Macaca mulatta: one gene and its partner. The protein of the gene in region 1 interacts with the protein of each later gene in a biochemical or structural test. Links are inferred from orthologs where the notes say so. Each region holds a gene or a part of one and is shown on either strand. Other genes may lie near its edges.

What was found.
Region 2: the proteins of GJD2 (region 1) and LNX2 form a complex in vitro, tested with the Homo sapiens proteins (2 studies listed by BioGRID and IntAct, with this or other methods). The link is inferred for Macaca mulatta from reciprocal best matches to the Homo sapiens genes GJD2 and LNX2.

The regions. Positions count from the first base shown.
Region 1 is NC_133412.1:12,070,674-12,074,806, reverse strand, and holds the start of GJD2 (gap junction delta-2 protein), read left to right. Parts: upstream 1-1,329; 5' UTR 1,330-2,047; coding exon 2,048-2,118; intron 2,119-3,104; coding exon 3,105-3,999; 3' UTR 4,000-4,133. UniProt on the Homo sapiens protein: One gap junction consists of a cluster of closely packed pairs of transmembrane channels, the connexons, through which materials of low MW diffuse from one cell to a neighboring cell.
Region 2 is NC_133422.1:7,597,587-7,601,234, forward strand, and holds part of LNX2 (ligand of Numb protein X 2), read right to left. Parts: intron 3,617-3,648; coding exon 3,248-3,616; intron 524-3,247; coding exon 380-523; intron 1-379.

The DNA of each region.
Region 1 (4,133 bases):
CTAACTGAACAATAGGATATCCATTCGTCCTCACCCTTGAACCTCCTCCGTGTTCAGAAGGAAACTAAGAAATGCATGCCCTAGTCCTAATGTTTCATTTACACTTCATCCCTCTCTCCATTGTTAGTGGACACGTTTACTCCTTTGCAGTGAAAGGCTGCTTTCTTGGGGTAAGGGTGTCAACCCTAGCAGAGGATTTCAGTGATCTTTCTGGCGGCGAAGCTTACGCCATGTGTTTAAACATCATTTTATGAAGAAGTACGCTGTGAGTGGACTCAGGGACATGCCCTGCACCTTTCTTCCCAGTCCCTGGGCCACCAGCTACCCAACCACCTCGGTTGTTCCAGAAGTGAAGGCTCACCATGGTGTGGCTTATATAATACACATAGTGCTATGATCCCTGTGGATAATTAAAGCTAGGTCCCTTTATATGCCTAGGACAAGTTAACAACCCTTTCACGGTTGTGTTTTCAAAAGGATGACAACTACTTTCCCATTGTACTTTTGTACATTTACATCAAACACTCCCAACTACAGTGTCTCCTAATACGGACCCCTGGGCTAATTAGCAGCTTAGTGTGATTGTTTCAATTTTTCAGCGACCAATTAAGTAGTTGCTCTAGACAGAACTGACAACACAATGTGAATTTTAAAAACCGCGATCTGCTGGTTGAGGGGAGAAAGCCAAACCCAGTAAAGAAAGTGGGGGCAGGGCGAGGCTGTGAGTGGCTCTGTTTCTGCTAGCAGAATACTGGGTCTTAAATTCAGATTAAATCACAGCTTACCTGACGAGTATCCCCCGCCCTTCCCACTAGTAAAATAATAACAATAATTTAAAAAGAGCAGAGCATCTGGGTTACTGCAACGGGAAGCGAGACCTTTAACCATAGCCACCCTACTCGCTCATTGCGAGGCACCTGTTAGATGCGCTCTTGTACCCTGATCCCCATACAGAGAGACAGCTCCACACCTGCATTTACCCTTCAGCCTAAATGGATTCCCATCAAGCCTTTCCCACTTCAGTGTCGGATCCACAGAGGCACCGAACCGCAGCCACTCTCCAGAAGCACTCTCAGCCCCTCCGTCCCCTAAGGGAGATTTAAAAGTGGTCGCCCCCACTCGCCCTCCCCTCAGCCAGCATCTCCATCTAGGGAAGGAATTTCAGTTGTCTCCCGAAGGCCAAAAGCGAAAAGGTGAGGGATGCACTGAGAGAAGAGAAGAGAAGATACCCAACTCACTCCCCTCCCCACTCACCCACGCGTCCGCTCCCGGCTCCCCCCTCCGCCTGCTTGGGTCTGGCGGTCAGGTGAGGTTACCTGGGCTCCCCGAGAAGCCCCGAGGGGCGCTGCAGTCCTTCTTTTTCGAAATCGCCCCGCTCCCCGCCGGGCCCCCAGGACTCTTGCCCCTCTCCCCCCCGCGCGCGTCCCCGGCCCCTCGGGCTCCGACGCGCAGCGACAGCCGCACAGCGCGCTCTGCTCCCCTCCGCCGACCTGGCGTGACGCAGGCGGAGACTACTTAAGGGCGGATTAGAGGCGGCGGCCGCGGATCCCCGAGCCCGGCATTCGGCTCCGCGCGCTCAGCCCCGGCCTCGCAGGCTGCCGCGCCGGAGCGCCAGGTGCCCGCCGAAGTAGCAGGAACAGAGCCGGTGCCCGGACCCTCCCCCGGCCCCCAACCTGCGGCAGAGAGCGGCGCCGAGACCCCTCCTGGGCGGGCGAGCGCTCAAAGACCTGCAGGCTGCCACCCCGCCCCTCGTCCAGGCGTCCGCGGGATCCAGACCCGAACCCCGGACGGCGCCCGAGGTTCGTGCTCTCTCTCTGGACCGCGCCAACTGCCCCATCGGTCCGGACGCGTTTGGATTTCTTTCCCCATTTCTTCTGTTTTAAGTACAATAATAGGAAAGGGGGATTCGAGGATTTTTTTTAAAAAATGCTTCTTTAATTGGGAGGCAATTCACTCCCATTCTGGAGGTGCGGCCCGGGGAGGGGCCAGGAGCAGGAACGTGCCCGGTGCTGCCCAGTCTTTGTCTGCTGCCTCCGGATGCACAGCGATGGGGGAATGGACCATCTTGGAGAGGCTGCTGGAAGCCGCGGTGCAGCAGCACTCCACTATGATCGGGAGGTAAGGGCGACAAGCCGGCAGTCAGCGGGCCCCGTCGGGCGGCCCCGGGAGTCCCTTCTCACACCCGGACTGAATCCCCCGCTCCAACCCCCAGCCCGTCCTCTGCCTCCTCCCCATCGTCCTAAGTCAAGGCTCCGGTGTTCCTGGCGATGAGGGATTACTCCTGACCAACTGCCCATCCCTTCCCCATCAAGCACCACTGGGGCTTCACTCTTCCCACATCAGAAAAGAAGCCGCTGGCTCAGTCTTGGTCCCTCCACTCTCCAGAGTCAGAGCCAATCTCCATCCGGTTCCCTAAATAGAATCTACAAAGAAGGCAGGATTGCATTTGGACAGAGAAAGGCAAATGGGGAGATGGATTTGCTCTTCAGAGCAGATGCCTCTTTTCTCAACAAATAATTACTAAACTAAACTTATTTGGCCGTGTAAACTTACCGAGCCTACACACCCAATTGCCATTTTTGTGTCTGTATATCTATGTCTCTAGAGTTCAATATATATAAATATATATTCATAGCCATCTGCTTATATAAAGCATTAAATTTAATATTCATGTTGAGAATAAACTAAATATACCCATGGAGTAGTTACATGTAACACACCCTGTGTGTAGACCTTGAAGCATGCACCGTCTGTAAAGGTATTCTGTGTGCATTTGCCATATCCAGAGTGAAGGTGTGTTTTGTGTTTCTATACATTCTATATAGAGAGATGAAATCTATCTGTTCCAAGTAGACTATGTCCAGTGTATGATGTTGTGTGTACCTGGGATCTCTATAATATGAAATGTTCCCAGCTTACCAGCACTCAGCAGAAAAGGAAGAGACAAAAAGCTTTCCCAGATTCCCAGTTCAGTACCAGCCGGGGATGGACAGCTCCCCAGTCAAACGACTGGAAAACATCAGCAAAGGGAAGGGAGGAGCAGGGGTTTCCTGTCAGTGACGCAGCCCGTGAGAACCTCTCTCCCTCCCTCTTCCTCTGCTCAGGATCCTGTTGACTGTGGTAGTGATCTTCCGGATCCTCATTGTGGCCATTGTGGGGGAGACGGTGTACGATGATGAGCAGACCATGTTTGTGTGCAACACCCTGCAACCCGGCTGTAACCAGGCCTGCTACGACCGCGCCTTCCCCATCTCCCACATACGTTACTGGGTCTTCCAGATCATAATGGTGTGTACCCCCAGTCTTTGCTTCATCACCTACTCTGTGCATCAGTCCGCCAAGCAGCGAGAACGCCGCTACTCTACTGTCTTCCTAGCCCTGGACAGAGACCCCCCCGAGTCCATAGGAGGTCCTGGAGGAACTGGGGGTGGGGGCAGTGGTGGGGGCAAACGAGAAGATAAGAAGTTGCAAAATGCTATTGTCAATGGGGTGCTGCAGAACACAGAGAACACCAGTAAGGAGACAGAGCCAGATTGTTTAGAGGTTAAGGAGCTGACTCCACACCCATCAGGGCTACGCACTGCATCAAAATCCAAGCTCAGAAGGCAGGAAGGCATCTCCCGCTTCTACATTATCCAAGTGGTGTTCCGAAATGCCCTGGAAATTGGGTTCCTGGTAGGCCAATATTTTCTCTATGGATTTAGTGTCCCAGGGCTGTATGAGTGTAACCGCTACCCCTGCATCAAGGAGGTGGAATGTTATGTGTCCCGGCCAACTGAGAAGACTGTCTTCCTAGTGTTCATGTTTGCTGTAAGTGGCATCTGTGTTGTGCTCAACCTGGCTGAACTCAACCACCTGGGATGGCGCAAGATCAAGCTGGCTGTGCGAGGGGCTCAGGCCAAGAGAAAGTCAATCTATGAGATTCGTAACAAGGACCTGCCCAGGGTCAGTGTTCCCAATTTTGGCAGGACTCAGTCCAGTGACTCTGCCTATGTGTGAGAGGGAAGGTTTCACAAAGGTCTTGGGGATGGCAAGAGCCCCAAGGCAGATGACTGCTCAGAGGTGGCTGTGTCCACCCTCATTTATGTGACTCTCACCATTAAGATGTAGGATAAGACTGGATAAAAGAAGAT
Region 2 (3,648 bases), on another chromosome or scaffold:
CAATCTTGTCTTCATTATGTTTTTTCAATAACTAACTCTTACATTTAAATAAGCAACCCAAGATAAATTCCACTTTCAAGTAGGATTAAACAAGTAGAAGATTTCATGCTTCTCGTTTATCACCTGGCAAAGGAAACTTCCCCTCCAAGCAACTATCTCTAGTTCTAAGGAACAACGCAGTCACTCTCCAAGGTAGCAAAACATATACATTTCACATTCCAAACAACTATATTTTTCAACAGAATAACAACCCTCATTTGAATCTTTTTTTAAAAAACTACTTTATTGAGGTATGACTGACACACAAAAAACCTTCATTGAAATCTTGCCAGCTTGTAACGATGATCCTTTGATGGTGGCATAAAAAAAAAATCCTCACCTTATGTGAGCTTGGTCTGCTGTAATACGGTGGTGGTGTGTGGTGCTGGCTGCTGCTGCTATGATTTCCTGCTTCTCTAATGGTGTTACCAGCCTGGGGCTTCCCTGGTCTAGCAATTGTTAAATTCACTCTCTCCCCACTGGCCTGGAGAAAACACAAATACATTACCACAAGTGACTAATGATGTTTGTAATTTTAAAGATTACACACAGTATAACTTTCAATGCACTTCTCAATCACGGTACCAGGGGATCATCTGGGCAGTGACTGCAAGCACCTGGTGGCAAGAGGAATGAGTTCGTTTCATTAGCTAATATCTTAAAACTGCTGCAGTTGAAGCGCATACACACAAAATTCTTGGGCATGCCCTCTGCAACCCCACCTCCAAAATGACCAAGGCAAAGTGGTCACACTGCCTGGGTTCTTATCTCCCCATGACTGGTAACTTTTCTTGTAATACTTCTTTGCATCTTCAAGGTTGGCCTTGATATTGCAAGACAGAGCAAAGGAAAGAAAATAAAAGGAAGAACTGCTTCGAAACTTGATTAAAGTCCATTGTGACTTCTGAAATAAATTTCCATGGTGGCTACTTCCGAAATAATAATGAAATTCTGCACAGCTTTGTTTCTGCCTCTATAGGTCTGAGTCAAAAATAGGACATCAGCATCAACATTCTTGAAAAGAATGACTACAGAAATCCTGCATAACAAGACTTTGTATGTATGTGTGTGTATATATATAGCATATGTGTGTGAATGTGACACACACATCTCAAGTGTTAAATTATTTTAGAGGTTCATGACTATCGTTTTAAATTTAGAGGCTTGTTAGCTATCATATTTTGAACATACGTTTACATTGGTTACATTTTTACAAGTTATTTAATGCTTCCTTTTAAAGTAAAAGTCTAATTTATTTGATGCTGACTCTTCGTCATGACCACAATGCCATTTTACTGTAATTCCTACAGGAAAATATGATAGCCTGCTTTAAAGAAATTGTGGTACAAAGTGGAGACCTCTCCCGTGATTCTAGTCAATAATGTTAAAAAATCACTTTATTTTCAATTCTTACATTAGAAAATAAGTGAGAAACAAGTTTAATGCCTTACTAAAATCATTTACTATTGGTCTCCTTTTAAGACATGGAGTATATGTTATTTTTTAAAATCCAAAAACAATAAGGCTTTTACTTATTTTCAAAAGGAAACAAATTGAGCAACTTCAGTTTTCCATTATTTGGAGAAAATTATAGCACAAAATACGATGAAACTATAACATCCAAATATAAAATATGATCATAGACAATTTAAAATATATTTTCTACCTGTGTATCTGTATTTTTTTCACATTTTGGTTAGAAATTTAGTTAGAATCATCCAAATGAATGAACTAGATGAGATAATTTAAACGTTGCCTGAAATACATATAGTCTATCTATTATTTTCTGTCTTATTGATCCGGCCTCTCACTTGACTCTTTCACTCAAACAAATGCTACAACTCTATTAGCTTTCTTCTTCCTCCTCGTCCTTTCTCCCCTCCCTCCCACCAATCTCCGCTCTTTCAAGATGAGCTGGGTTTTAGTGGTGCAGCTGCTGGCTGATATCCACAGACATAGGTCCTAATGTTGCCTTTAATCTGAGGAAATTTTAAGGCATCCAATTTCTTTAAGCCTCAAGTCTATGAAATTACACCAATATCAGAATCTCCTCTCAATACAATAAAGAGGGTTGAGACCAGGGTTTTCTTTTTTTTTTTTTTTTTTGAGACGGAGTCTCGCTCTGTCACCCAGGCTGGAGTGCAGTGGCCCGATCTCGGCTCACTGCAAGCTCCGCCTCCCGGGTTTACGCCATTCTCCTGCCTCAGCCTCCTGAGTAGCTGGGACTACAGGCGCCGCCACCGCGCCCGGCTAATTTTTTGTATTTTTAGTAGAGATGGGGTTTCACCGTGGTCTCGATCTCCTGACCTTGTGATCCGCCCGCCTCGGCCTCCCAAAGTGCTGGGATTACAGGCGTGAGCCACCGCGCCCGGCCGAGACCAGGGTTTTCTTATAGTCTTAAATTTTCATTGTTATTTCCGTGTTGTAAACACATTTTTCAATGACTATCGGCCTAGCCTACTTCCTGATGCTCAAGGACATAATTCCTGGTTTCCTTTACAGTGTTTTGTTTTGCTGACTTTAAGGAAAACTTCTCTTTGTTGCATCCTTATCACTGGAGAAGTTGCTCATACCATTAAATGCTATGGCATGTTGCAGAACGTGTAGATCTTGCCTGGAGGACTTTCCAACTTACCTGTCTTCATGCTTTTGTGAAAAACATGTTCCTCCTCTAATCATGACTATCCTTACTTACGTCCCAAAGATGCTATGAGGACAAATTTTATCATGTATTTTAAACACCGTGAATTCCTTAAAAACAACAACAAAGCACTACCGAGATAAGAGTTACTCTTCCCCTATTTATGTAGATCCTGACAGGGAGTTAAGAGACCAGGTAAGTCAGATCCTTGGTAATCACAGCTCTTTTAAGCCTCCCTTTCCTCACTTCTAAAAGGTGGACACTACCATCTGCTACATCTGGCTTAATAATAGAACCCAGGACCCAAATGAGAAATGAGTATGAAACAGTAGAGCCTACGCTCTGTAAATAATCATCCCCAAAGTTCACAGGGATACAGTTTTTAGAAAAGACTATCTCCAATGAAGCTATACTAGTGTGGATTTTAAAGAATTCAGGTAGCCATACCTGATTTTCTAACGAAATATAAAATGTCCCCTGAATTCTGATGTTATTGGCCAATGAAAACAAATACTGCTATACGATCATTTCGGCCAAGCCTTTGGAATGAAGGCCCAGAGGGTTTACCTGAATAATCTGGGCAGCAAGCTCCGGAGTTCCATGCTTCAGGTCGTGCCCATTGATGGCCAGCACTCGGTCATTGCTGCAGAGCCTGCCGTCCTGCGCAGCCAACCCCCCTTCCAGCAGGTCAAGAATAAAAACCCCTGGCTCATCTGTCCTTCGCACCAATTTAATGCCAAGCTGTTCACCAGAGTCCCGTTTGTGAAGAACCACTTGGAAAATCTCTTCTCGCGGAGAGTTACTATCAGAATGGTTGTGTGCTCGGTTGCCAAAGCGCCTCTCTCGAAGCACAGTAAGATGCAGTGTGTTGCACGGCTGGGAAAGGACAGCTCTGGCATAGTTATGGGACACGTTGCTGATATTGTAGTTGTTGACCTAGAAAAAAAGAATTGTGACAAAACTGTGAC